7 linked regions of the Callithrix jacchus genome follow. The protein of the gene in region 7 binds, or shares a complex with, the protein of the main gene of each other region. Links are inferred from orthologs where the notes say so. Each region holds a gene or a part of one and is shown on either strand. Other genes may lie near its edges.

What was found.
Region 1: PRPF8 (region 7) and LSM3 share a complex: the UniProt entries of both Homo sapiens proteins name them as parts of the U4/U6-U5 tri-snRNP complex. The link is inferred for Callithrix jacchus from reciprocal best matches to the Homo sapiens genes PRPF8 and LSM3.
Region 2: PRPF8 (region 7) and LSM8 share a complex: the UniProt entries of both Homo sapiens proteins name them as parts of the U4/U6-U5 tri-snRNP complex. The link is inferred for Callithrix jacchus from reciprocal best matches to the Homo sapiens genes PRPF8 and LSM8.
Region 3: PRPF8 (region 7) and SNRNP40 share a complex: the UniProt entries of both Homo sapiens proteins name them as parts of the U4/U6-U5 tri-snRNP complex. The link is inferred for Callithrix jacchus from reciprocal best matches to the Homo sapiens genes PRPF8 and SNRNP40.
Region 4: PRPF8 (region 7) and LSM4 share a complex: the UniProt entries of both Homo sapiens proteins name them as parts of the U4/U6-U5 tri-snRNP complex. The link is inferred for Callithrix jacchus from reciprocal best matches to the Homo sapiens genes PRPF8 and LSM4.
Region 5: PRPF8 (region 7) and SART1 share a complex: the UniProt entries of both Homo sapiens proteins name them as parts of the U4/U6-U5 tri-snRNP complex. The link is inferred for Callithrix jacchus from reciprocal best matches to the Homo sapiens genes PRPF8 and SART1.
Region 6: PRPF8 (region 7) and CD2BP2 share a complex: the UniProt entries of both Homo sapiens proteins name them as parts of the U5 snRNP complex. The link is inferred for Callithrix jacchus from reciprocal best matches to the Homo sapiens genes PRPF8 and CD2BP2.

Annotation. Positions count from the first base shown.
Region 1 is NC_133516.1:71,157,652-71,161,748, forward strand, and holds the start of LSM3 (U6 snRNA-associated Sm-like protein LSm3), read left to right. Parts: upstream 1-1,297; 5' UTR 1,298-1,338; coding exon 1,339-1,359; intron 1,360-4,097. Other genes in the region: XPC (DNA repair protein complementing XP-C cells), read right to left, coding at 945-1,047. UniProt on the Homo sapiens protein: Plays a role in pre-mRNA splicing as component of the U4/U6-U5 tri-snRNP complex that is involved in spliceosome assembly, and as component of the precatalytic spliceosome (spliceosome B complex).
Region 2 is NC_133512.1:88,800,361-88,804,628, reverse strand, and holds the start of LSM8 (LSM8 homolog, U6 small nuclear RNA associated), read right to left. Parts: upstream 2,801-4,268; 5' UTR 2,656-2,800; coding exon 2,625-2,655; intron 1-2,624. UniProt on the Homo sapiens protein: Plays a role in pre-mRNA splicing as component of the U4/U6-U5 tri-snRNP complex that is involved in spliceosome assembly, and as component of the precatalytic spliceosome (spliceosome B complex).
Region 3 is NC_133508.1:67,899,181-67,902,680, forward strand, and holds part of SNRNP40 (U5 small nuclear ribonucleoprotein 40 kDa protein), read right to left. Parts: intron 2,173-3,500; coding exon 2,090-2,172; intron 890-2,089; coding exon 828-889; intron 1-827. UniProt on the Homo sapiens protein: Required for pre-mRNA splicing as component of the activated spliceosome. Component of the U5 small nuclear ribonucleoprotein (snRNP) complex and the U4/U6-U5 tri-snRNP complex, building blocks of the spliceosome.
Region 4 is NC_133523.1:17,038,834-17,042,907, forward strand, and holds the start of LSM4 (U6 snRNA-associated Sm-like protein LSm4), read right to left. Parts: upstream 2,801-4,074; 5' UTR 2,739-2,800; coding exon 2,736-2,738; intron 1-2,735. UniProt on the Homo sapiens protein: Plays a role in pre-mRNA splicing as component of the U4/U6-U5 tri-snRNP complex that is involved in spliceosome assembly, and as component of the precatalytic spliceosome (spliceosome B complex).
Region 5 is NC_133511.1:123,038,013-123,042,088, reverse strand, and holds the start of SART1 (U4/U6.U5 tri-snRNP-associated protein 1), read right to left. Parts: upstream 2,801-4,076; 5' UTR 2,753-2,800; coding exon 2,440-2,752; intron 1-2,439. UniProt on the Homo sapiens protein: Plays a role in mRNA splicing as a component of the U4/U6-U5 tri-snRNP, one of the building blocks of the spliceosome. May also bind to DNA.
Region 6 is NC_133513.1:29,873,078-29,877,304, reverse strand, and holds the start of CD2BP2 (CD2 antigen cytoplasmic tail-binding protein 2), read left to right. Parts: upstream 1-1,427; 5' UTR 1,428-1,562; exon of another isoform or gene 1,563-1,669; intron 1,670-2,000; 5' UTR 2,001-2,027; coding exon 2,028-2,105; intron 2,106-2,697; coding exon 2,698-2,833; intron 2,834-2,959; coding exon 2,960-3,117; intron 3,118-3,219; coding exon 3,220-3,655; intron 3,656-3,734; coding exon 3,735-3,841; intron 3,842-3,926; coding exon 3,927-4,037; 3' UTR 4,038-4,227. UniProt on the Homo sapiens protein: Involved in pre-mRNA splicing as component of the U5 snRNP complex that is involved in spliceosome assembly.
Region 7 is NC_133506.1:66,551,899-66,555,897, reverse strand, and holds the start of PRPF8 (pre-mRNA-processing-splicing factor 8), read right to left. Parts: upstream 2,801-3,999; 5' UTR 2,734-2,800; intron 2,533-2,733; 5' UTR 2,523-2,532; coding exon 2,423-2,522; intron 1,640-2,422; coding exon 1,471-1,639; intron 507-1,470; coding exon 342-506; intron 258-341; coding exon 39-257; intron 1-38. UniProt on the Homo sapiens protein: Plays a role in pre-mRNA splicing as core component of precatalytic, catalytic and postcatalytic spliceosomal complexes, both of the predominant U2-type spliceosome and the minor U12-type spliceosome.

The sequences.
Region 1 (4,097 bases), on a different chromosome or scaffold from region 7:
GGCCAATAAGGTGGGTATCTGGCAAGGAAACAAGTGGTAGGAGAAACAGGAGAGGTAGCAAGAGCCAAAACATGTAGCATCTTGCAGGCCAGGTTAAGCCAACTGGATTTTAAGCTAAGAGCAATGGGAAGCCAAGGAGAGTTTAAAATAGGAACACGGCATGATTAAAAAAAGAAAAAAAAGATTATTTGGGTTGCTGGATGGAGAACTGGGAGGCCAATAAAGAGGAAACTGCAGTCACTCAACTGAAAGGTGATGGTGGCTTGGACAGGGGCCATGGCCATGGAAATGAAGTGGACAAATTTAAGATACAGTCCGAGGCTGAACTGACTGGATTTGCTGATGGACTGATGTGTGCACATAAGAAAAAGGCAGGCTTTGCTTTATAACAAGTACTGAGACTGGAAAAACGGAGGAAAGGATAGATTTAAAGGGGAAAACCATGAGCTCCGCTTTGCCTGTGACAAACATAAGAAGCCTATCCGATATTCACGTGGGGAAGTCAGGTGGGATCCCACTGTGGAACTCCGGGTGAGACTCCGCTTAAGTGACCATTCGGGAGTCACCACACTGCATCACTCTACGTCCTGGTCCGTCTGTCTGCCTTCCTGGGACCCAAATAACTGCCTTCTCCACTTTCAGCCCTGAGCATCTGCGCTGTATCCTCTGGGCAACCCGGAGCGGAAAAACGCTACGCATGAGCTTGGGTCGGGCGAGGCTCCCGAGGAATCGCTCTGCGTGCGGAGGACAAAGGGACAGGGACAGAGCGGAGGGCCGGACGCGGCCTGCCGAGCTGCTCCCGCGGCCGCCGTCACGTCCCCGCGGCGTGGAAGACGCGCAGTAAACTGCATCCTGTCTCCACGTCTGGCCTCCCACCCCAGCCTCCCGGCCTCCTCCGCCCTGCTGCGGCGTCTCCCGCTAAGCCCGCTGGGCCTCGCTCTCACCCTCCTCCTCCTCCTCACGCCGGGCCTTGCTCTTGCCCTTGGACTTCTGGCTGCGCGGTTGGCGTCCCCGCGGCTCCCCGCCGGCCGCGCGCTTCCGAGCCATGTTGTTCTTCGGGGCAAAATCCACTTCGTGAGTGACGCACCTGGCCGCTGTGCACCAGAGCGCGGGCTCCGCCCACAGGCGGGCGCGTCTAGCCCTGTCCCTTAGTTGGAGGCCTAGCCACGCCCCCGAAGGAAGCTCCGGCGATACCCGTGGCCACCAAAAACCACAGGAAGCAGGAAGGAGAAAAACAGATTTCTCTCTACTTCCGGTGTATTATATCCTCCTGTTTCCGGAGATCCGCGTTGCTCTTGTGTTCTCGCGAGAAGCGGGAAAGAGCGCAGGGTTTGAAACATGGCGGACGACGTAGACCAGGTGAGTGTACTTTAAGGGGGTCGCTTCGAGCAGCTTCGCGTACTAGGGCTGGTTTTCCCAAACTTAGGAAAAATGGCCAGTCGTGTCTCCTCCTTCCAGGTCACCATGGTCCAATCCGCCCCGTCCTTTCCGTAACCGCCCCCTGCTCCGAATTTTGCTGCAGGCCCTGAGATCTTTTCCGGTTAGAAGCCCACCTGACTACTATTCATCACACTCTTCAATTCATTTTTTTAAATCTGTAAATTATTATCCTTGCCTGCCTCACGGAGCTGTTAGGATTCCAATAGAAAGCCTGATGATGAAGTTAGAAGTTCATATCATTACTGAGCGCAACCATTATTTATTCATTTAGCATATTTAGTGAAATTCAGCTTTGTATGGTTAGACACTATTCTAAGGGCCAGGGACACTGACATCGACATAGAAGTGATCCCTGCCATTACTTGGAGCTTATATTCGTGAGGAGAACAGATAAAAGTAAATATAAATATGTAGGAGACATAGGAACTGTGATGTGATGTGAAGGAAACAAGGAACTAGTTTGCAGAATAACAGATGGCCCTAGAAGCTTTTTCACCTTGTCTTTCTCTTCCTCAAATATCTTTGGAGATCAAGCCACAAATTCTTAAGCTTTCTACTGAAATCTCACCTCCTCAGAGAGGACTTCTCCTGCGCCAGTAGCACACGCTTTACTCTTCTTACCCTGCTTCATTTTTCTTCAGAGCGCATTATTATTTCGTATTAAATATATGCATCTGTTTTTAATGTATAACCCTTCCCACTAGAATTTAAGTGCCATAAGAGCAGGTTTTTTGTTTTGTTCTTTCTTCTGTCCTTAGGGTTTAGAACAGTGCTGGAAACACTCAACAAATATTTACTTAATGAGGCCTCTTTGAAAAGTCAATATTTAAAGCTACAGTGGGCATCGTAGACAGAGGCTTAGGTAGCAGTAGGGTTCTGTCGTGTGCATATTTTGACAGTATTTAATTATTTATTTGTATGCCTCTCCACATTACAATGAGCTCCTTGAGAGTGGAGATTGTGACTTCTATATCGTTATAATCTAACAGTTGGTTATCTGATCCTTTAACAAACACCTGTTGAACTAGGGAAGTAGGGATCAGTCGAGTCAGGGTTTTGTTTTTTCTCTCATCTGACCTTTTGAAGCTTTAGAGCCTGTTGCATTCAGTCACCTTCCTCCACTGGCCTCATGTACTTAATGAAGATCTACTTGAATAGTCTTTCTCTTAATGGCTGCAACCATTCGACCCCAAGTCATCCTAGCCCTGACCTCTAAAACCGACGTTTCCAGCAGTTCTTTAATAATACTAATAGGAACCATTTCTTTTCTTTTTCCTTTTTTTTTTTTTTGGACAGAATCTCACTCTGTCATCCAGGCTGGAGTGCAGTGGCACAATAGATCTCAGCTCACAGCAACTTCCACCTCCTCAAGCGATTCTCCTATCTCAGCCTCCCGAGTAGTTGGGACTACAGGCGCGTGCCACCATGCCTGGCTAATTTTTCTGGTTTTTTTTTTTTTTTTTTTTTTTTTTTGAGACGGAGTTTCGCTCTTGTTACCCAGGCTGGAGTGCAATGGCGCGATCTCAGCTCACCGCAACCTCCGCCTCCTGGGATCAGGCAATTCTCCTGCCTCAGCCTCCCGAGTAGCTGGGAATACAGGCACGCGCCACCATGCCTGTAAGTTTTTGTATTTTTAGTAGAGACGGGGTTTCACCATGTTGACCAGAATGGTCTCAATCTCTTGACCTCGTGATCCACCCGCCTCGGCCTCCCAAAGTGCTGGGATTACAGGCGTGAGCCACCGCTCCCGGCCAATTTTTCTGTTTTTAGTAGAGATGGGGTTTCGCCATGTTGGCCAGGCTGGTCTCAACTCCTGACCTCAGGTGATCCGCCTGTCTCAGCCTCCCAAAGTACTGGGATTCAGGCGTGAGCCACCATGCCCAGCCAGTAGGAACCGTTTATTACTATTTTCTGTTTACCTGGCACTGTTGTAAATACATTAACTACTTTAAACTTCTCAAGAACCCAGAAGGAAGGTTGTGGCCTCCTCAATTACAAATGAAGAATCAGAATTACAGATGGCATGATTTTTAATCTTAGTTCATTAGAGTCAGGTCACAGCCAGGAGTTGAACCCAGACTGCCTGACTCCAAAACCAGTGCTTTCTTTTTTCAAGACAGAGTCTCACTCTGTTGCCAAAGCTGGAGTGCAGTAGCACGATCTTGGCTCACTGCAACCTCCGACTCCTAGGCTCAAGCCATCCTCCCCCCTCAGCCTCTGAATAGCTGGGACCACAGGCATGTGCCACTGTGCCTGGCTAAGCCAGTGCTTTCAACCAGCGTTTTATACTGTCTACTAAATATATTCATCTTACTGGCCAGTTGGCAGCCTAAACTCAACCTGTGCTAAATTCATAATCTTCCCATTAACCTACACCTCTACTTAGCATTCTGACTAGTGTATGGTAGACATTGAGTGAGTGTTTTTCCAACGATTACATAATATTTGAGATAAAGCTAAAGTCCCTGAGAGCCCATACCCTGAAATTGGGTCAGGCAGTTTGATTTTGAGGGAACAAAGAATAGTCATGATTATTTTGCTGTGTAACTCCTTTTTGTGTATGTGTGTTTTAACCTACATTTATGTAGCACATATTATATGAAAGGCACTGTTCTAAGCCGTCATAGATATCACTTAAGCCTCACAACAACAGTATT
Region 2 (4,268 bases), on a different chromosome or scaffold from region 7:
CAAAGGGAAGAAACCAGCTTAAAAAGGCTGAGAATACCCAAAATCAGAACACCTCTTCCTCTACAGGAGATTACAGTTTCTCATCAGCAACAGAACAAGCCCTGATGGAAAAGGACTGTGTGCCATTAACAGAAGTAGGCTTCAGAAGGTGGATGATAAGAAACTTCTGGGAGTTAAAAGAACTTGTTCTAACCCAATGTAAAGAAACTAAAAACTTTGAAAAAAGGTTTGACGAAATGCTAACAAGAATAGACAATATACAGAGGAATATAAATGAAGTAACGGAGTTAAAAAATACAACACGAAAACTTAGCGAAATATGCACAAGTTTGAATAGCTGAATTGATCAAGCAGAAGAAAGGATATCAGAGGTCAAAGACCTACTTAATGAAATAAAATGAGAAGACAAGAATAGAGAAAAAAGGATAAAAAGGAAGAGTAAAGTCTCCAAGAAATATGGGACTATGTGAAAAGACCTAATCTACGTTTGATAGATGTACCTGAATACGACGAAGAGAATGAATCCAAGCTGGAAAATATTCTTCAGGATATTATTCAGGAAAACTTTCCCAATCTAGCAAAGCAGGACAATATTCAACCCCAGGTAATACAGAGAACACCACAAAGATATTCCTCAAGAAGAGCAACCCCAAGGCACATAATTGTTAGATTCACCAAGGTTGAAACAAAGACGAAAATACTAAGGGCAGCCAGAGAGAAAGGTCAGGTCACCCACAAAGGGAAGCCTATTAGACTTACAGCAGATTTCTCAGCAGAAACCCTACAAGCCAGAAGAGAGTGGGGGCCTATATTCAACATCCTTAAAGAACAGAACTTTCAGCCCAGAATTTCATATTCTGAGAAACTAAGCTTCACAATTGAAGGAAAAATAAAATCTTTTTTGAACAAGCAAGTACTCAGAGATTTTATTACCATCAGGCCTGCTTTACAAGAGCTTCTGAAAGAAGCATTATACATAGAAAGGGACAACCAGTATTAGCCTTTCTAAAAATATACCAAAAAAGTAAAGAGCATCAACATAAAGAAGAATTTACATCAACGAATGGATAAAATAGCCAGTTAACATCAAATGGCAGTAACCCTAAATTTAAGTCGACTAAATCCCCCAATCAAAAGATACAGCCAAAACCTAATGGTATGCTACATCCAGACCCATTTCACATCCAAAGATACACAAAGACTCAAAACAAAGGGATGGAGAAAGATTTACCAACCAAATGGAGAGCAAAAATAAATAAATAAATAAAAAGCAGGAGTTGCAATTCTCACGTCTGATAAAATAGATTTCAAAGCAACAAAGATATAGTGGTAAAAGGATCAATGTAACAATAACAGCTAACGATCCTAACACCCAGATACATAAGACCTATAAAGAGATTTAGACTCAACGAGACAGAAAATTGATGAGGGCAGCCAGGACTTGAACACAGATCTGGAACAAGTAAACTTAATCAATATTTATAGAGCTCTCCATTTTAAATACACAAAATATACATTCTTCACTTTAAATACACAAAATATTGACCAGCCATTATTAATACCCATTTTTTAGAATAAAGCAATATTCCTGTTTTCTCTCCCTTTTTTTCTTCCTCTTTCTTCTTCTCCTTCACTCCTTTTTTCTCTTTCTTTTCTTCTTTAAAAATAAAAATAAAGTAAATAAAATAAAGAGACTACAGAACTAAAAAAAAAAAATCCTGGGTTTTTGACACTTTTCTATCAGGAATGCTGCCAATTATGATTTTTGGGCAGGATATTTTGTTTCTAAGGTCTATTTCTTCATTTCTAAAATGAAAACTGAATGACTACTAAATTAATCTGTGTTGGACCATTTTCAAGCATGTTAAAAAACTGTCTTCCAGGACAGTCTTCTTTAATTAAAAAAGCAAACAAACTATATAATCAGTGTCACAAGATACCAATAATGCCCACATGATTAAAAGCATTCGGTATTTAATTTGTCATCCAGTTTGTACATGAGCACAATGTCGTGCTTCTGTCCTGAGACTTTAAAACGGTAACACTTGCAAAGTCTATTTTAAGACTTCCCATGCGGTTTTTTGTTACTTACTGCTCACTACAATCCAATACAACAGCAAGCATTTTTTTCATTCTACCAATAAGTTGAGACTTCAAGTGGTAAAGGGACTGAAACCTGGTCTGTGAACCATCGTTAAACTTTTTGCTATCCTCAAACTAATGAGCAAATTATATGAATAAAACAAGACAAAGATTTTTAAAACTGCTGTCGCCGCCCGGACGACTGTTCATCTTATTTATAAACCTGAACACGTAAGTCTTATGGAAATAGTAAAGAATCAAGAACGTATTTTTTTTTTTTTTTTTTTTCAAGAGAGAAAAGTTCGGAATAATCACACTGGGTTTTTATCCGGCTTTTGCAGGCGACAAGGAAAGGACCCCTGGGCCCGCAGCAGCTGCAGGCTCCAGCAGCCGCCGGTAAACTATGGGTCGTTCCGGGGTCCTCTTCCCCTCGCCCGCCCCCAAGATCCCGCCGCGGTCGGGTCTCCCAACCTCCCACCGATCCTGACTGGCTGTGTCTCCGTAACCCCGGCTCACGCCCGCGGCGGCAACCTTGAGGATACGGTTGATGTAGTTCTCCAAGGCGGACGTCATGCTGCTCTGCCCGGCAGTTCCGGGTAACACACCGGTGCCGGCGGCAGGCGGAACTGAATGGGCGCGCTAGAACCCTGCTGTGGCCTGCGCTTGCCGGGCCGCAGCAATGTCGCGAGACCTGCTGCCGCGCAGCTGCCCCCGAATCGGAAATTGTAATGAACTGGCCAATCAAACAGAAGCCGCACAGCGGCGAAGATAGAGCGCGCGTACGCAGTGTGTTTTCGCTGTAGTTCCGGGCCGTGTTCCGGAAACCGCGCGAGACAAAAGTGACCTAGAGGCAGACAAAAGCGAGCGAGAGACGGAAAAGGAAGAAGCTTCCTGAAGGTGGCGTAAGAGTGAGGGTGAGAGGGTGCGTTTTCTTTCAGTGTGGTGGAAGTTAATAAGTAAGACTGCTGAGACGAGGCAGAGCAGACAGGAAGAAACGGGATAAGGTGTTTTTATTAGGAGTGAAGGAGGAGAAGAGACAAGTACTGTTGTGTGAAATGCAGGTGCGGGTAGGGGAATCTCTAGTTTTCTGCAGCAGGAGATGAAAATAACACTAAAAATAAGTCCAGTTGCCCGGGACAAAGTTGCGCACGTTATAACGGCACAGTGTAAATCATCAATGAAAAGCACGTTCGTATGTTCTGCTTTTGTTTCTAAAAGCACTCCCAAATAGAGGTGCTGTTACTTTTTAAAGAAACTAAATGCAAATAGACAAAGGTGTGTGATCATTCCTTAGAAAATGAATATCCACGCTTCTACCATGCCACGATGGTCTACCCTTCCCTAGGGTTAAATTAGTAAGTAAAAGGCTCCTGCAGCACCGAGAAAGGACTGATGCAGAAAAGTACCAAACTTGGTTCTTATCTTGGCTCTGCTAGCAAATTGGTGTCATTGCACGAGTCACATCAACTCTTTTGGGCCTCAGTTTCCCTAGATGCTGCTATAGGTGCCGTTTAAGATATTTCCAGACATGATACTAGAAAATGCCACTGTGCCTATACGTTATTTACTGTGGTGCCCTAACATGAGAGAGCTGGAAGTTAGAAAAAGGTTTATACATAAAACACCAGCAGGAGTGATTTCTTTTTTTTACAAAATATCTTTATGATTTCAGTTAAACTTGTGATTTCTTAAGAATTGTGGTTTTGGAATCACTCTTGCAACCTCAGCAGTTTTCCTCGGAAAAGGAAGCATTTCTTAATTAGAGCATACCCACAAAATACCTGCAAGATGACTACCAAATAGTTAATATTTTATATTCTGGAACTTATTCCGATCTGTTTGAAATCAAGTGTAGTCAGGAATTGGATTGTGAATGTCTCATATTCTCAGGGTAACAAATGAAACTGGCTTCCATAAGTGACAGAATGGAGATAATTGTGTGATTTGCAAATGTTAGGGGTTGAACCAAAACCCATAAACTAATTAATGATTAACTAGGTATTAGTAAGGAGTTTTGTTAAAAAAAAAAGAAAAAGAAAAAAAAAGAAATTGCTGCTCATGGTGGTACACCTGTAATCCCAGCTATTCGGGAGGCTAAGGCAGAAGAATGGCTTTAACCCGGGAGGCGGAGGTTGCTGCGACTCACACCATTGCACTCCAGCCTGGGTGACAAGAGTGAAACTACA
Region 3 (3,500 bases), on a different chromosome or scaffold from region 7:
GAATATGAGAATTCCATGTGAGCAGCACTGTGGTGATGGTGGGGGAGGTGGGTTCTTAATATGTAACCAAATGAACCGAAGCATGGCAGAAGAAATGTGGTGAGGGAGACCAGAGACAGATTATGAGACTTAGGGAACCCAACAGAACCAAACAAATTGTTGATCCTCTAGGTCTAAAATGTCTCCAAAATGAGTAGAAATGTTGTTTGTCCAACATAGCTTCGAAACCTTTCATGCCACACAGAGCTTCATCTTCAAGCAGTCATAACTCTATGTCTGCTCTAGCTCCATATCCATGTTTTATGCATGAAACACAAGAAGACATCCTCCATAGCTACATCATTTTTTTTTTCTTTTTTTTTTTTTTTTTTTTTAAGATGGAGTCTCACTCTTGTTGCCCAGGCTGGAGTGCATGGTGCAACCTCCGTCTCCCAGGTTCAAGTGATTCTCCTGCCTCAGCCTCCCAAGTAGCTGGGATTACAGGCATGCTCCACAACGCCCAGCTAACTTTGTATTTTTAGAAGAGATGGGTTTCTCCATGTTGGTCAGACTGGTCTCAAACTCCTGACCTCAAGTAATCCATCCACCTTGGCCTCCCAAAGTGCTGGGATTACAGCTGTGAGCCACCGTGCCTGGCCAGCTACATCATCTTTTTTTTTTTAAAGATGAAACCAACAGGGTTTCACCATGTTGGTCAGGCTGGTTTTGAACTCCTAACCTCAGGTGTTATCGCCGGCCTTGGCCTCCAAAGTGCTTGGATTACAGGCGTGAGCCACCGAGCCTGGCCCAGCTACATCATTTTTTACTTTGCATCCAGTAATCCTTACCTGTCGGCTGAGCCAGCTGCTATTTTACTTCCATCAGGTGACCAAGAACATCTCAGAAGGTTCTATGATAAATAAGAATCCACTGAATAGTAATATACCAAACTCCTCTTTGCAAGGCTACAGAATCACTGAGAGGCTTTAAATTTCCTAAGTAGAGTTTTAATTGTTTTTCTCAGGAAGATCGTTATCTTATATTCTATGGCCTCCAATAGCATACTTTGTTATTTTACACCGTATAAAAACTGTAGAAAATGTTTAACTTACAATTAATTATATTGAACCTGGCAACAAAATTTTGTTCTACTTATAAATAGAGGCTCCCTTTATCTTGATATTCATTATTCTTTTTTCCTATTTATCTTGAATAAAAGCAAACCCAACAAATAATTTTTTTTTTTTTTTGAGACTGGGTCTTGCTCTATTGTACAGGTTGGAGTGCAGTGGCACAATCATAGCTCACTTAAGTTTTGACCTCCTGGGCCCAAGTGATACTCCCACTTCAGCCTCCCAGACAGCTGAGACTACAGGCACATGCCATCACAAGCAGATTTTTTATTTTTTGTAGAGACAGGGTCTCATTACGTTGTCCTGGCTGGTCTCTAACTCCTGGCCTCCTGCCTTGGCTTTCCAAAGTACTGGGATTACAACTGTGAGCCACCATGCCAGGTCTAAAAAATAAAATTTGATTTGTACAGTGAAACTGAATCCCAATGAGCTCTCAAAAGGAAAACGTTAATTTCTATTAACAAATTCTCTGAGAGTAAAAGCTTCTTTCAATAGAGCTGACCTTTAAATTTGAGGGTCTGAAAAAATTCTGTCTCTCAGAACTTGGGCTGTGGTAGGTACTGAGGGGAGAGATGTATTCTTAGGGTTCAAACATACCTGGTCATGGGGTAGGGAGGCAGGTGAGGGAGACCTTCTTAACAGCTATGGGAGCTTGGGTTCCATATGGAAAACTGATTTAAGAGGGTAGAATTCCCAAGTAATTAAAAGGCCAAGAGTGTCGTGTTGAAGGTGGTGTGAAGTCAGATGCCCTCAGTTTGAGAGCTGGCTCCATTACTTTTGAGCTATGTGACTGGCTTCTTCCCAATCATGAATATTTCTATTAGTTTTATTTTTGGCAGCAACAGTTTTGATTAAGAGCAGTGTTACTGGAATGAAGTCCATTCTCAGCAGAGCTACTGCTCTCTATCCTTAGTATCACCTGAAATGTTTCTTTGAATTAAATGAACAGTAAAACTCCCCTGCCATGCAGAACTCACCTTTTCAAAGTTGTGCACATTTCCTTGAAATATCTTTACACACCTCTCTTTGGGGGCAAATGGCCGGACATCCCAGACACGAACTGCAAAACAAATCCAAATAAACAAACCAACCAAAATAACTAACAGCCAGAGACCTCCTGAGCACCCAAATGAAATTAGTATCATGTTTATGACAGATGCTGTTTCCAGGATGGGGAAGTCCAGTATGACACACTGCTACCTGTTAAGCCTCTTTTCTTTTTCAAGCAGGAAAATACATCTAAATTCCAATAACTGGGGCTAGCTGAGGAGGCAGGAAGGAAGAATGTCACTCACAACGCTGGTAATTTGCAACAGAATGCAGCTGGCTGTGATACTAATTTCAAAGATATTTTGCAAAAGAGTCCTCTGCCAGCTTAGAGTCACATCCAGCAAAGCTTCAATAAGACAAACTAAATACCATGAACTACTATGATAATGAACTTATCAAAACCAAATTTATATTGCCCTTTCCTAATTTCCCTCATATGGGCACCTGACAGTCTCAAACTGAACAAGGTCAAATATATATAAAATATATAAAAAGTCGCTGGGCTCAGTGGCTCATGCCTGTAATCTTAGCACTTTGGGAGGCTGAGGCAGGTGGATCACCTGAGGTCAGGAGTTCAAGACCAGCCTGACCAATATGGAGAAATCCCGTGTCTACCAGAAATACAAAATTAGCCAGGCGTGTTAGCTCATGCCTATAATCCCAGCTACTTGGGAGGATGAGGCAGAAGAATCGCTTGAACCTGGGAGGCAGAGTTTGCGGTCAGCAATATTTTGCCATTGTACTCCAGCCTCGGTAACAAGAGCAAAACTCCATCTAAAAACAAAACAAAACAAAACAAAGTCAAACAAATCAAGAGTATTACACCATACCAAAAATCAGAAAAAGTAAATACTGATTCTAAGTCTAGCTCTGTTGGATATCTGGGTGACATCAGGTAAACAGTGAGACTGTTTGTGTCTTGGTTTTCTTGCTCTGTAAAATGAAGAGAAAATTACCCGTTCTTTTTAAAATAATACTATTTTATTTATTTTTATTTTTTTTTGAGATGGGGTCTTACTCCGTCACCCAGGCTGGAGTGCAGCTACACGATCTCAGCTCACTGCAACCTCCGCCTCCAGGGTTCAGGCAATTTTCCTGCCTCAGACTCCCAGGTAGCTGGGACTAGAGGCATGTGCCACCATACCCAGTTAATTTTTGAATTTTTTAGTAGAAATGGGGTTTCACATATTGGACAGGCTGGGTCTCAAACTCCTGATCTTGTGATCTGCCCACCTTGGCCTCCCAAAGTGCTGGGATTACAAGCGTGAGCCACTGCGCCCAGCCTATTTATTTTTGAGATGGAGTTTCACTCTTGTTGCTCAGGCTGGAGTGGGTGGC
Region 4 (4,074 bases), on a different chromosome or scaffold from region 7:
AAAAAGTGCCAAGTGTGATGGGAGCGGCCCCATCACCTGGCTCAGGGAAGATCACAAGAAAATTCAGAAAAGAGAATTCCTTTCTCTGCGCTTTCTTGGAACACCTGGAGTCTGGTTCTCAGGTTTAGACCCATGAGGACTAAATCCAGTGGCTCCTAATTCCAGAAGCTTTCCAGGACTGCCCTCCCCGGCTGCTAACCCAGGTCACTCCTAGTCCTACCCTGACCACAGGGAACTGGAAGTGTGTATCCCATGAGGCCTTGTCCATTCTTTTTGTTTTCCCCTGAGACGGAGTTTCACTCTTGTTGCCCAGGCTGGAGTGCAGTGGCACAATCTAGGCTCACTGCAACCTCCACCTCCTGGGTTTAAGTGATTCTCCTACCTCAGTCTCCCAAGTAGCTGGGATTACAAGCATGTAATCCCACCACTCCAGGCTAATTTTGTATTTTTAGTAGAGACGGGGTGTCTCCATGTTGGCCGACCTCAGGTGATCCACCCACCTCGGCATCCCAAAGTGCTAGGATTACAGGCATGAGCCACTCCACCTGGCCCGCCTCGTCCATTCTTGGCCACTCCTCCAGGAAACGCCTGGATAGCCAGGACTTGGGGACTCTGGATGTTCAGAAGGTGGGGACGGGCTGAATGAATGAGTTCTAACTTTGCCCACGCACCGTTCTACACAGTGGGAATAATAGAGGGAAGAAAAATGAAGATCCTGCTTCCATAAAACTTGTCACAGGATGGACCCTTCCAACTCTGCCCTCGGGGACACAGCAGGAGGGGCCGGCTCCCTTCTCTGAATTGTTGCACTTGAAACCGCCTTCGCAACAACTGTACCTGAGGAAATTATGACAGCAAAAAGAGATCAGACCTAAGCAACTCCATCTTGCTTGTAACCTTTAAGCTGTCCTTGCTCTTTCCTGGGCATAGGCCGAACTAACCTTGGGAAGAAATTCAGTCTATAGTTTGACTCTGAGACAAGATTGGTAATAGCTTTTTCCAGAAAACACCCTCTTCTTACCTGGGGACCAGTCAGCCTTTGGAGGACTGACAAGCTGCAAGATTAGAAATTATCGTTTAGGGGTCACGAAGCCTCTGGCTCAAGAGTCTGAACCTCCCCAAATTGCTCCTGGGGATAACATCACTATTATAAAAATCTAAGATCAGTGCTTGAGATATTTTTGCAGACCCTGTACTAGGTGGATCCGCTGACACCACCCAGACGAGTAATGTGGCTCAACCAGTCCCGCAATCCCACCCACGGACAGAATCCCACCCAGGAACAGAAGACAGCAAGAAAATCTCACTTCGACCTCCTCAGGACTCCATCTCCAACCTCAGGAAGCTCCAGCCAATCAGCACCCCCCACTTCCTGAGCCCCTACCGACCAAATCATCTTAAAAACTCGGATCCCCTAGGCTGGGTACAGTGGCTCACCCTGTAATCCCAGAACTTTCAGGAGGCTGAGGTGGGTGGATCACCTGAGTTCAGGAGTTCCAGACCAGCCTGGCCAACATGGTGAAACCCTGTCTCTACTAAAAATACAAAAAAATTGGTCGGACATGGTGTGGTTGACGCCTGTAATCCCAGCTACTCAGGAGGCTGAGGCAGGAGAAAAGCTTGAACTCGGGAGGCAGAGGTTGCAGTGAGCCAAGATTGTGCCACTGCACTCCAGCCTGGGCAACAAGAGTGAAACTCCAGTCTCCTGCAGAGCTGGCTCTGTGTGAATTGCTTTCTCCATTGCAATTCCCCTGTCTTGATAAATCGGCTCTGTCTAGGAAGCAGGCTAAGTGAACCCACTGGGTGGTTACACACTGACCCCAGGATTTAGGGAGCATCTCTTACTAATCCTCAGCTCTGATGCAGCCACCCCTGTGGGTCCCTCCTGGTTACTAAATCTCCCACTGTCTCACAGAGTCTGGAAGTCACATCCCCAACAAAGGCCTAGATTTCTCTCCCTGAAAAAAGAAGCGCCAGATGCTGATGGGCCAGGAAATTCCCAGCTCCGACTTCGTTTTCCGATCTGCACATTGAGGACACGGGCACTTTCTGGCCCAGATCCAGAACTTCCATAATCACAAACATCTGGCCCTGCAGAGACCTGGGCCTCAGTTTTTCCTTCTGTGTATTGGGAGGATGCACTTTATCCACTCCTGCTCAAAATGCCCCCTTCCCCTGGAATGACATGCTATGTGACCCAAGGAGAAAGACCACACCCCAGCACCAGGCCCGATTTTCAGACAGAAAACAACAGGCCTAGGACGCTGTGCTGCGAGCATTTTATGCATCTTGCAAGCTCTGAAATTCCTAAAGCTAAGTTTCACAACTCAGACTGGCCCCCTACTTCCCAGCACTCTAATTTTCAATCTGGGAGGTCTGACCGGGCCCGAAGCGTTCGGGGCCCCTTCCCTGCCCAAAAACTTGCATTTGGCGGGCCCCCACCTTTTTTGACCTCAGTTTCCCCACCTGAGGGGAAAAAATGGGAAAAACTAAGTAAAGCGAGCCCGCTGTACTACGGATACAAGCCCGTGCAACCCTAAATCTCAGACACAGACGTCCTAGAGCCATCTGCAGTCTCCAGCCTCAGTTTCCCAGCCTCGTGCCGGGAGACGGAACGCGAGGCTCTGACTCTACGTTCACCCCGCGCCAACCCAACCGTCAGCGCCCGCCCGGAGGGCTCCCAACGCCTGCGGCTCCCGCCTCCCGATGAGACCCCGCCGTTGCCCTGCCCTCACCATGGTGCCGGCGGGGACCGGGCTCGCCGGCCACTTCCGCCACCGCCGCTGCACACGCTCCCGGCGGTCGTCGCAGCGCCGCGCGCCACTAGGCTGAAAGAAAGTGGCAGACACGCGAGCCAGTCAGCACTGGGCTCGAAGGGCGGCCAACCAATCCACGCGGAACACGGCGGGGCCCTCTGGGCGAAAGGGGCGGGCGGGCCGCGTTCCCGCCGGAGGAACGAGGAATAGAGCCGTAAAGTGTCGCGACTTGTAATGCAAAAGGGGGCGGAGCAACGCGCCCAGGCGCGGGGTGTTTTGTGGGTAAGCGCATGCGCAGGTGAAGCCGTCGGTCTCGGGCTCCACGCTGTGGGCAAAGCCAGTTAATGCCTTTCGTTTGCAGTCTTAGAGACAGCGAGGTCTCGTGGTGATTGGGACGTCCCTCAGGTCGCCCTTCGGACTCCTAGTTTTCTAATTCTGTAATTATCCAGGAACATCATTTAGTGGGTTGGAATCCTGACCACGCCCCTCGGAGCCTCAGTTTGCTGTAAAATGGGTTATAATAGTAGTGTCTGCTCCAAAAGGTTGCTTGCTGTGAGGATGAAATGAGTGAAACTATGTAAAAAGCACTTAAAACAGCGCCTGGCGATCGGGCGCGATGGCTCACGCCTGTAATCCCAGCACTTTGGGAGACCGAGGCGGGTGGATCACGAGGTCAAGAGATCGAGACCATCCTGGTCAACAAGGTGAAACCCCGTCTCTACTGAAAATACAAAAAAAATTAGCTGGGCATGGTGGCGCGTGCCTGTAATCTCAACTACTTGGGAGGCTGAGGCAGGAGAATTGCCTGAACCCAGGAGACGGAGGTTGCCGTGAGCCGAGATCGGCCATTGCACTCCAGCCTGGGTAACAAGAGCGAAACTCCGTCTCAAAAAAAACAAAAAACAAAAAAATAAAATTAGCCGGCAGTGGTGTAATCCCAGAATCGCTTGAACCCAGGAGGCAAAGGATCACGCCATTGTACTCCAGCCTGAACCCAGGAGGCAAAGGATCACGCCATTGTACTCCAGCCTGAGCAACTAGCGAAACTCTGTCTCAAAACAAACAAAAACAGGTCTGGCGCATATTAAGTACTTAACAATATACTTTGTGCCTGCTTCTGCTCACAGAAATGAACAAAACACAAAATTCGTGGCTCTCAGGGAGACAGTAAACAAAGTAAATAGGCAAATGCTGTTGTTTCCTGGGGCTGTAACAAACGCCTGCAAACTGAGAGGTTTAAAACAACAGAACGTGATTTTCTCACAGTTCAGGAGACCAGATTCTGAACTGAGGCTGTCAGTGGAGCTGGCTCGCTCCG
Region 5 (4,076 bases), on a different chromosome or scaffold from region 7:
TTAAGCCCTGGAGAATACCTCAGTTTATAGTGTTACTACTCAGTTATTTCTTTTTATATAATCCTTTATATGATTATATATTAGTTTATAGAATTAGGGCTTGGAGAGTATCTGTTTACAGTGTTACTACTCAGTTATTTCCCTTTGTACAATCCTCTCTATATGATCACACATTAGTTCATAGAATGAGTGCCTAAAGAATATCTTACCACTCAGTTATTTTCATATATATTAAAACTATATCTAAGTTTATAATCAGAGGAATGCCTAGAGTAGATACAGTACAGAGCATGAATTAAGGAATAAGCAGCTTATAATCGGAGGAATGCCTAGAGCAGACACAGAGCACCGCATGATTTAAGGGAAAAATGTTATACCAGGGCAAGAATCCATGGCCTAGGCAGCAGCATTCAGTATTATAGATACCCGCTGTATGGCAGGCTTGGGGCAAGAGCCACTCCTCCTGATAAAGGAGTTGTAGGACCTTGCACCAGTTCCTGTGGAAGGCTGCCCTCAGACCGGCAATCACACCTTGGTGACTGTGAACTTTATCAGCTCTTGTTACTGTGCTGCTCGAAAAGCATTCCTCTATAGAACTTATTGGAAGCTGCCAGCAGGTGGCATAGACCCTGACAGCTCTGTCACTGCTATGTGACTTAAAGCATCCTCCTATAAATCTTCTTAGTAGCTTACCCATAGATAGAGGTATTGCACACTGCACCCTCTTCACTGCACATGGCCCACCTCCATACCTCAGTGACCTAATGGGGGTGGACCCCTTACTGCACACGGCCCTTGCCTTGATGACCTAATGGGAATGGACGCCTTGCTGCACACTGTCCACCTCCCAGCCTAGGTGACCTAATGGGGTGGACCCCTTGTTTTATTGCTCACGACCCTATCACTATCCTTAAAGATGACTTCACTCACTGCCCTGCCCCCTAACCTAAACACAACAAACACTCACGCTTCTGGACATTTGGGGCCTCACCTGACTCCACTCATAGGGGCGTGGCCCCTCGAGCCCAGCTGCATTTTCCCTGTACTTCTGTGTCCTGTCTCTTTTTTATTTTTTTGAGACGGAGTTTCGCTCCTGTTACCCAGGCTGGAGTGCAATGGCGCGATCTCAGCTCACCGCAACCTCCGCCTCCTGGGTTCAGGCAATTCTCCTGCCTCAGCCTCCCGAGTAGCTGGGATTACAGGCATGCGCCACCATGCCCAGCTAATTTTTTGTATTTTTAGTAGAGACGGGGTTTCACCATGTTGACCAGGATGGTCTCGATCTGTTGACCTCCGGATCCACCCGCCTCGGCCTCCCAAAGTGCTGGGATTACAGGCTTGAGCCACCGTGCCCGGCCTGTCCTGTCTCTTTATTCCTTGGATCCTGCGCCTCAGCACAGCATAAGGCACACCCTGTGGGCCATCAGCCCTACAAGCTTCACTGGCCACCCAGATACTGACTCCCAGTGGCTTTATCCAGTCCAAACTCTGGCTTTTCACATGCACATCAAGCTCCACAACCCCAATTATCCATCCCCCTCCAAATCTGCTTCTCTTCTCTGCTCCTCAGTTTCAGTAGAGATGACACCCACAACTCATCTGGCTGCTCAAGTCAAAATTCAAGGAATCATTCTCAATGCCTTTTCCTTCCCAGTCTCATACAAGTGCTGAGTTCTGTTCATTCCTCCTCCAAAACACCTCTCCAACCTGTCCACTTCTCTCCATCCCACTGCTGCTGCATTGGTGCAGGCTACCATCGGCCCTCATGTGGTCTCTAGCAGTCCTGATTTCCTGGTCTCCAATCCTGACTACCTTTGACTAAGTTCTCAATCCAGCAATGTTTACAAAATATGGATCTGAGCAACTCACTCCTCAACTCACATCCATGGCTCCCTACCAACCTCAAGACAATCTATATTTCTTAACGGAACCTACGGTACACGGTCCTTTGTGTTCACATCCCTAACTATCTTTATCTTACTCCCTCATTTCACTACCATGAGCCCTACACGATTCTTCCAATACCAGGTTTCTCTCGCCTCTGCATACGCTGATACTACTTCATTCATTCATTCAACACATTTATTGAGGATCTGTAATTGTACCAGACAACTGAGGAAAACAGAAGCCCTCTGTCCTCAAGGAGCTAGGTGGAGAAAGTCAATCTCTAATCCTAATCAACCATAGAAAATACTTTTTTTTGAGACAGTCTCGCTTTCTTGACCAGACTGGAGTGCAACTGGCGCGATTGCAGCTCACTGCAGCCTCTAACTCTTGGGCTCGAGAGGTGCCGTAGAAAAACTATTTAATAGGAGTTAACGTAGACAGTCTGGGGGTTTCCCGGCCTGGAGAGCTTCGCAGCCACTGCGCGCACACCCAGACCCGCCCGCTCCGGGACCCCTGCCCGCCCCGCCCCCTGAGCAGGTCCCGCCTCCTCACCGGCCTCATAGCCGTCGTCGCGCTTCTCCCGCTTCACGCGCCGCTCTGAGGGCTCTGCCTGGCTGCGCTCCCGCCCGTGCGTGCTGCTCCGGGCCTCAGCTTCGGCCCCGCGCCGCCCACTCCCGCGCTCGCCTCCACGTTCCCGGCTCCGCTTCCGTCGTTCGCCGCCGCTACCGCCACTGCCGCTACTCCGGTGCTTGTGTTTTTTGTGCTCCCGGTGCCGCGGCGGCTGCTCGGTGGCCCCACCGGTCCCGGCCGCCGCCGTCGTCCCGGCCGCCTCTTTCTCTCCGCGGTGCTTCTTGGACGACCCCATAGTAGCGCGTCAGCCCCAAGCCCGGCCGCTGCCGAGCCCAGACAACGCAAAATGGGAACACTTCCGGGTCGCTCGGCAGCCGCTGTCGTGTTGCGGGAAACTAAGAGCGGCTGCTTCCGCCGCTCGCCTTGGAGCCTGCCCCAGAGGCTCATGGGAAGGCTAGGATCAGGGCTCCACTGCGCATTCGCGCGGTCTTGGGTCCAGTGGGTTCTGTGAGCAGGTGGTCCTGTTGCGCATGCGCTCCTCAAGGGACGCGGAATTAACCCCGGAGATGGGATCCCAAAACTGGAAGGAGTTAGACCTGCTCCACCCACCACACAAACAGCAAATAACTTTACTGAACACTATCAAATGTGTTCAGACACCTTAAGCCAGTGTCTTCGAGGCTGGAAGTTCCTCCTTGGCCTCCCTGCGCTTGTACTTCCCCGGCAACGTGGTGTTCACTACCTCACGGTCTCCGTGGACACCTCCCTCCTACAGTGGGCGCTCGCTTCCTGGACTCCTGGGGTCGTGGCTCCAACGGGTGTTGTTTTCCCGAGGTCCCCAATTGCATAGCCCAGCTTCCGACTCCCTAGAACCAGTATCCTCAGGGAACGCTGCCTTCCCACGTCCCCCGGGTTGTTTTTCTCTTGAGATAGGATCTCACTCTGTTCCTCAGGTTGGAGTGCAGTGGCGCCATCACCGTGCACGGCAGCCTTGACCTCCCGGGCTCAAGTGATCCTCCCACCTCAGCTTTCCCAGTAGCTGGGACTGCAAGTGCACGCTACCACGCCCCTCTAATTTGTGTATTTTTTTATAGATATGGGGGCGGGGGTCTCACTATGTTGTCCAGGCTGGTCCTGAGCTCAAGCGATTCACCCGCCTTGGCCTCCCAAGTGCCGAGATTACAGGTGTGTGCCACTCTGCCTGGCCCTGGATTGGGTTTTTTAAACGTGTGAACTGTTAAGGAGCTCCACATGGGTGTCAGTGTGTCCGTGGAACCCCTGAAATTGAATGCAAAATATGGCACATCTGTGTGTATGATTTTTTTTCTTGAGGAGAGGATCCCTAACTTAAAACTACTGGAACTTAAAAAGACCAATGCACACATTCCCTCCTGAAACCCCTCCCCCCACCCAACGGTTACTAAGACTGTGGCTCCCTGTGTGGCACAGTCAGTCTGTGTTAGGGTATGTTGTATGCACCCCTCTGAGGGTCCACCCCCCCTCCCACTGACTGGGCATCCTCAGAGGCGGGAGTCGTTCCATCTTATTCACGCTTGAATTTCTAGGACCCAGCATACACATTGAGGATGGGGTGGAGAAGTCACAGTTCTTGCTCTTTG
Region 6 (4,227 bases), on a different chromosome or scaffold from region 7:
GGACACATGACTACCCGTGTGTCCTAAAGGGTGCTGTGTTCAGAAAGTGCCCGGAGAGCCATCCAGGGGCCCCAGGTTGGCCATCTGGTCATCAGGAGAGCCAGGCTCCCCCTTGGGAGGGCAAGGCTGCATTTCTCTGGCTAGGAGAGCTGACCACAGGACCACAGGAGTGGGAAGACATGATTTCTTTCTTTTTTTTTTTTGAGACGAGTCTCACTTTGTCGCCCAGGCTGGAGTGCAATGACGCGATCTCAGCTCACTGCAACCTCCGCCTTCCGGGTTCAAGCAATTCTCCTGTCTTAGCCTCCCGAGTAGCTGGGATTACAGGCTCATGCCGCCATGTCCGGCTAAATTTTTGTATTTTTAGTAGAGACGGGTTTCACCGTATTCCCCAGGCTGGTCTTGAACTCCTGAGCTCAGGCAATCCACCCGCCTCGGCCTCTCAAAGCGCTAGGATCACAGGCGTGTGCCACCGTGCCCAGCCCGAAAGCAGGATTCCTTTTTTTTTTTTTTTTGAGGTTGCCCAGGCTGGAGTGCAGTGGCGCAATCTCGGCTCACCGCATGCAACCTCCGCCTCCCGGGTGCTTGCAATTCTCCTGCCTCAGCCTCCCGAGTAGCTGGGACTAGAGGCGTATGCCGCCACGCCCGGCTAATTTTTTTGTAGTTTAGGAGAGACGAGGTTTCTTTTCTTTTCTTTTTTCTTTTGAGACGGAGTTTCGCTCTTGTTACCCAGGCTGGAGTGCAGTGGCGCGATCTTGGCTCACCGCAACCTCCGCCTCCTGGGTTCAAGCAATTCTCCCGCCTCAGCCTCCCGAGTAGCTGGGACTACAGCCGCGCACCACCATGCCCAGCTAATTTTTTGTGTATTTTTAGTAGAGACGGGGTTTCACCATGTTGACCAGGATGGTCTCGATCTCTTGACCTCGTGATCCACCCGCCTCGGCCTCCCAAAGTGCTGGGATTACAGGCGTGAGCCACGGCGCCCGGCCGAAGGCAGGATTTCTAGCGACACGGTAGGGGCGCAGAACCCTTCCCTGGGGGAAGGGTTACTCGAACCCAGGACAGGAAGACAAGAAAGCAATCCAGTGGCTCTGCTCAGACTTTGCTCCTAAATCCTGACACTGAGCGACCCTTTAAGTAGATGCGCTCCACTTTTTCTCCAGAGCCTCTACGGCTCAATGAGAGAATCAAAGCTACTTCCGGCCATTTCTCACGCCGGGTTAGAGTCTAGGAATTCTTAAGTCTCCTCTTTTCGCCACTTTCCTCCCACGCGACTGACGTCACTTCTGGCGTAAGAAAGGGTGGAGGTGTCTTCCCTCGCTCATCGCGTACTTCCGCCCGCTCTTCCAGTTGGTCCTCTGGCCGGAGTGAAGCCACTTCCGGCCTCCCCGGCGCATTCCTCAGTCCTCTTCCGGGTGATGGCGGCCGGGTGCCCCGGATGTAGCCCTGGCGCAAGCATCTCTTCTTTGCCGCCTCACCTCCAGCGGATCCCCAGGTGAGCGCGCGAGCGTGGGACCATCCGAATCCCCGTGGCCCTCTACTTTGTACGCAGCCCGGGACAGGTGGAGCTCACCACACGGAATTGGGAGTTCGGAGCAGGGAGGAACGGGGCGGCGAGGGCGCCAGGTCCTGGGTCCGCCCGGGCCCCGCGAGCTCCGAGAGAGCCTGGGTAGGAGGCGGGGGTCAGCCCGTCGAGCCTGGTGGTACCCAGACTGCGGGGGCTGGGTTTGGAGGTGGTCACATGGTGGAGCCTGTCTCCTTTTGGCCGGGGTCGGGGGATCCAGAGGGATTGCCCCTCCGTCCCCGCCCCATTTAATTCGAGGATGCCAGACCGAGTACCAGAGGCCTTCTGGCTTCCAGCTCCCTTTCCGCCCCTGCTTTTGTGCTCCCTTCCCTCTCAAACTGTACTTGTCACCAAGAAAAATGTTTGCTGTGCCGGGAATCCTCTGGCGGCGAGTCCCCTCCTCACCCCGTTCTCTTCCTCTGCATACTTTCCTCAGCTTGAGGAACACCTTCTCTGCCCTGTCATGCCAAAGAGGAAAGTGACCTTCCAAGGCGTGGGAGATGAAGAGGACGAGGATGATATCAGTGTCCCCAAGAAGAAGGTGAGGGGACCAAACTTCTTTGTGTGGGGGGAAAGAGAGGAGCTAGAAGCCTGAGGAGGAAGAAAGTTGGGAGGGGCAAGGCGGGCTGGCAGAGAAAAGCCTAGTTTTTCCAGGTTCACTGAGGAATGGATTGGGAGCATCTTCAGTGTGGGTCCTGAAATATTTGGGGAAGTAGGGCTGGGCACGGTGGCCCACGCTTGTAATCCCAGCACTTTGGAAGGCCAAGGCAGGCAGATCACCTGAGGTCGGGAGTTGAAGACCAGCCTGGCTAACCTGGTGAAACCCCATTTCTACTAAAAGTACTAAAAATTAGCCGGGTGGTGGTGGGCACCTGTCCCAATTAGTTGGGAGGCTGATGTGGGGGAATCCCTTGAACACAGGAGCCGGAGGTTGCAGTGAGCTGAGATCAGCCATTGCACTCCAGCTTGGGCAACAAGAGTGAACTCTGTCTCAAAGAAAAAAAAAAAAAGAAATATCTAGGGAAGCAGTTGAGATCCTGAAATATTTGGGGAGTATTTGGGTCCAGATCTGGCAGTATTTGGGGAGGTAGCCAGTAACCTGCATTTCTTGACTTCCTGGCTCCTGCTCACAGCTGGTGGACCCTGTGGCTGGGTCAGGGGGTCCTGGGAGCCGCTTCAAAGGCAAACACTCTTTGGACAGCGATGAGGAGGATGATGACGATGGGGGGTCCAGCAAATATGACATCTTGTCCTCAGAGGATGTAGAAGGTGAGCTGTACTCAAGAATACACTCTACTGAAGGAAAAAGTAGAGACCTCTGGTGGTGTGAGGTGAGGGAGGCCCCGGTCTCTTTTTTTTCATCCCCAGCAAAGGACACCCCTGTCTTTGGTGCAGGTCAGGAGGCAGCCACACTCCCCAGCGAGGGGGGTGTGCGGATCACACCTTTTAACCTGCAGGAGGAGATGGAGGAAGGCCATTTCGATGCCGATGGCAACTACTTCCTGAACCGGGATGCTCAGATCCGAGACAGCTGGCTGGACAACATTGACTGGGTGTGGCCAAGGGGCTGGCATGGCTGGGGCCAGGGAGTGGCAGAGCTGCTGCCTGCTCCCGTGGCAGTTTGTGGGAAATCACTCCCCTTCTTCCCATTACAGGTGAAGATCCGGGAGCGGCCACCTGGCCAGCGCCAGACCTCAGACTCGGAGGAGGAGGATGGCTTGGGCCAGACCCCAATGAGTGCCCAAGCTCTCTTGGAGGGACTTTTGGAGCTCCTGTTGCCTAGAGAAACAGTGGCTGGGGCACTGAGGCGTCTGGGGGCCCGAGGAGGAGGCAAAGGGAGCAGCAAGGGGCCCGGACGACCCAATTCCCCACAGCGCCTGGACCGGCTCTCTGGGTTGGCCGACCAGATGGTGGCCCGGGGCAACCTTGGCGTGTACCAGGAAACTCGGGAACGGTTGGCCATGAGGCTGAAGGGTTTGGGGTGCCAGACCCTGGGACCCCACAATCCCACACCCCCACCCTCCCTGGACATGTTTGCTGAGGAAGTGGCGGAGGGGGAACTGGAGACCCCAACCCCTACCCAGAAAGGAGGTGAGCTTGGAGGACACAGGAGGAGGCACTGGGCAGGAGGCAGACACTGGAGGCCAAATGGCTTTGCCTGTTATTTTAGAAGCAGAGTCGCCGGGAGATGGTCTGGTGGATGTGATGTGGGAATATAAGTGGGAGAACACAGGGGATGCCGAGCTGTATGGACCCTTCACCAGCGCCCAGATGCAGGTGAGCCGCTTTCTTCCTCCTTCTGCCTTGTCCCTGCTTCCCCAACTCCTGTCAGTCCTTCCCCAGCTCTGCCCTCTCCTTGCAGACCTGGGTGAGCGAAGGCTACTTCCCGGACGGTGTTTATTGCCGGAAGTTGGACCCCCCTGGTGGTCAGTTCTACAACTCCAAACGCATTGACTTTGACCTCTATACCTGAGCCTGCTGGGGGCCCAGTTTGGTGGGCCCTTCTTTCCTGGACTTTGTGGAGGAGACCCCCAAGTGTCTCAGGCAGTGAGGAAATTGGAGGCCATTTTTCAGTCAATTTCCCTTTTCCAATAAAAGCCTTTAGTTGTGTATTAGGGCCTTCGCTGTGCTGATGGCCGGAAGCCAGAGGTCTTCTCCACAGC
Region 7 (3,999 bases):
AGCTCCTCTCAGGAGCAGCATCTCCATCTGGCACTCACTTCCTGCTGTCCCTTAATGGCTGGTGGTCATAGAACCAGTCCAACACAGGGGCATCCTCCTCGGGGTCCAGCTCCAGCTGAATGGCCTCCAAGGGCTCAACATCTAGGATGTTGTCAGCATAGTCCAAGGGCGGCTCCTCATCATCAAAAGGGGGAAAACGCATCCTCTTGAAATGCCTCCTATCTCTCTTTTCTCGACGCATCATAATCCACATTGACCTGAAGGCAAGAACGTCACATAACCATTCACCCACTGCCTCCCAGCCACCGCCACCACCGCACACCCTAGTTCAGTCTTCTCACCCCCACTGGGAGATGTAGACAGGTTCGATGACCCAGGGAATCTCATTGACGAAAGAAATGGCTCCAGTGATGTGGTACAGCACAGGCACGTCCCGGATCTGCTCCCAAGGCATAGGCATGTTCTCCAGAAGCTTGAGGACCGCATGGGGCATGTACTTCAGGGCACTGCCGTATCAGAAAAAGACAAGGCTATCAGAAATGACATGGTATTCTGCTGCCTGTCCCCTGCAGAGAAGCCACGAGTTCATGTTCCGCAGTAAATGCTACCTTACAATCCAAATGCCCAAGCTTAGCATACAGGCTCTTCATAACCAGAAACCCTGCCTCTGCCTTTCCAACTTCATCTGGTTAACACTCTTCTTAAACTTCACAGTCCTGCAATGCTGGTCTCAGCTCCCCTAAATCAACGGCTGTCCCTCCGAAGACAGCTTTGAGGCTGTCTCAAATTCTATTCTCTCCGCATCTTCTCACAAGAATAAAAAAACATTCACCATGCTTCACTATAACTAGTTGTCACCTGTCTGTCATGCCACTAGACCACACACTGCACAAAGGCGGAGACTGGTACTGTCTACTCACTCCTAGATCCCCAGCACCCAGCACAGTTCTCAAAAAAAAAGTACTTTTTTTTTTAAATAAACAAATCTTCCAGTTAATTACACAGTAAACATTTTTGTGTCCAAATAGAACAAGGATCTATTAAGACATCTGTACCTGTACTCATCCAGTTTAGAGCCTCAGAAAATCAGGAGTAGGGATACCTCTGAAGTTAAATACCCCGAACACAGAATTCAGGTCCCTGAGTAGTGTCTGGCGGCCACTGTACATAGTATCCCACTCTGGGCTTCAGCCAGTTCAATGACAGGAGTGTTTTACAACAGCAATAACAGGACAAATGAAAGCACCAGGCCCAAATCAGGAAGAGAAGGGAGAAAGACTGCATAAGTGGAAGATGCAGAAATTATCAGAGAATCCTACTGGTTTTCTCCTTTCTCATATCCACCAAGATGAGTTGTCAAAGCAGAGTCCTACTCCAAATGACAGCACATCTATCCAAGGATGCAAACTGGGACAGGGAGAAGGCAAAAGGGCCAAACTCCAAGTGAAATTGTTTCAAGGTGTTCCTTACCCCAAGTAAACCCTTTTGTCATGGCGGAACTTCCTGTTGGTCATGTCTCCATGGTCTCGAATGATCTTCCTGACATGTTCTGGGGGCATGTCTTCCTTCTGGGCATCCACAAACCCAAACTTCCGCTTTTCTGCATAGCGCTTGGCCTGCAATTGCTGCCATTTTCGAGCTACAAAGGCACCTCAGTTTAAAGGACTGCACACCCTCAACCTAATCATCTTCACCCCTTGCCCTAAGGTAAGTTTCTGTCAGTGTATGTGAGGGAGAAGCAGGCATCCGGCAGGAAGAAGCACTCCTTGCCAATTCCCTTACCATTTTACTCTATTTCTCCCTTCATCACATTTATCACTAGCTGACACTATTTATTTATCTTGAGAAGTTGTTTTGCTCTGTTGCCCAGGCTGGAGTACAGTGGCAGGATGTCACTCACTGCAACCTCCCCCTGCCAGGTTCAAGCGATTGTTGTGCCTCAGCCTCCGGAGTAGCTGGCATTACAGACACGCGCCACCACAGCTGGCTGATTTTTGTGGTTTTGGTAGAGACGGGGTTTCGCCATGTTGACCAGGCTGGTCTCGAACTCGTGACCTCAGGTGATCCACCCACCTCGGCCTCCCAAAGTGCTGGGATTAGAGGAGTCAGCCACCGCACCCGGCCTAACATTTTTATAACAGATCTTCAAGGTCTTTTCATTCTCTCTCCCTCTCTCCCGCAGGATAATTGTCTCCCACAGACAATAATTTGAACCCCAGGACAGGAATTTTGTCTCCATCACTATTGTATCCCCGCTGGATCAACGCCTGCAAATAACACGCGCTTAAAATGACTTGACTAGATAAAAAATTCAAAGGGGCATCTAGGGAGCTGACACCTAATGAGCTGCCCAAACGCGGGGGGGAGTCCCACCCCGCCTGGGAGCGCACCCTGCCCGCGCCCCGCTCTAGTCTCGCCTCACCTTTCTCCTGCAGTTTCTCCTCCGACATGTAGTCCGGCAGCGGGGCGAGTGGGCCGGGCACCGGGTTACCCGGCCCTCGGTAAGGAAATACTCCAGCCATCCCGGAGAATCTGCGGAGCGGCGGGAGAGAAAAATTAAGGAGCAACAGGCCCGGGCCCACAAGAAACGCCGCAAAAACGCGCCCGGGACCCCCGGCCTACACTCCCGCCATACTACGAGTGCATCCACTCCGGCCCGGCCTATCCCCTCCGGTCACCCCGCCCGACCCGACCGCGCCTCCCGCAGCCCGGCCTTAAACGCCTGCCACGCACCCCACAGCCCCTCACACAGGGGAACGCTTTCCCCACAGCGCAATGGCGGCCAGCCTGCGTCCGCTCCGCGATCCCAGCGCTAGGAAGTGCGCAACCCCAGTTCAGCAGTTGATCCAATCGGCGCCGAGATGCTCAGATGGATTAGTGAGATGACCAGTTAGAGTTTATATACTGCGCCGAGGGGGCGGGCTTACAGGCGGAAAAGCTTGAACGCAAGGGGGTGCGGTCGGAGTGAAGCCCCGCCTCCTGCGTTTGCCAGGCTGTTTCTGGCGCCCGGCAGCCCTCAGTGTGTGTGATAGGCTTCTGGCGTCGGACTGCGAGAGACCAAAGTCCACAGGATTTTAATAACTGTGCCAAGACTGCACACTGCACGATGTCTGTTTTCATAAATGTGGACATGAAATGCAGTGCTAGCTCCAGGACAGTCATTTGTTCATGCGTTCATTCATTCAACCATTCTTTATTGAGTGCCCCCTGTGTACCAAGGGCTGGACACAGCAGGGAAAAAGACAACCAGTGGCGTTCACGGGGGAGCAGAAAGGCAGACAGGAACCAAGACTTCACCCGGGCGCTGTGGCTCACGCCTGTCCTCCTAGCACTTTGGGAGACTGAGGCGGGTGGATCATTTGAAACCGGGAGTTCGAGGCCGGGGGCGGTGGTTCACGCCTGTAATCCCAGCACTTTAAGAGGCCAAGGAGGGAGGATCACCTGAGGTCAGGAGTTCGAGACCAGTCCGACCAACATGGAGAAACCGTCTCTAAAAAATAATAAGTAAATAAATAAATAGGGCCGGGCGCGGTGGCTCACACCTATAATCCCAGCACTTTGGGAGGCTGAGGTGGGTGGATCACGAGGTTAAGATATTGAGATCATCCTGGTCAACATGGTGAAACCCCTATCTACTAAAAATACAAAAATTAGCTGGGCATGGTGGTGCGTGCCTGTAGTCCCAGCTACTCGGGAGGCTGAGGCAGGAGAATTGCTTGAACCCAGAAGGCGGAGGTTGTGGTGAGCCGAGATCGTGCCATTGCATTCTGGTCTGGGCAACAACAGCAAAACTCCGTCTCAAAATAAATAAATAAATAAAATAAAATAAAAAGAGATCAGGAGTTGAGACCACCCTGGTCAATATGGCAAAACCCTGTCTCTACCAAAAATATAAAAATTCGCCGGGCGCGATGGCTCACGCCTGTAATCCCAGCACTTTGGGAAGCCGAGGTGGGCAGATCACGAGGTCAAGAGACTGAGACCATCCTGGCCAACATG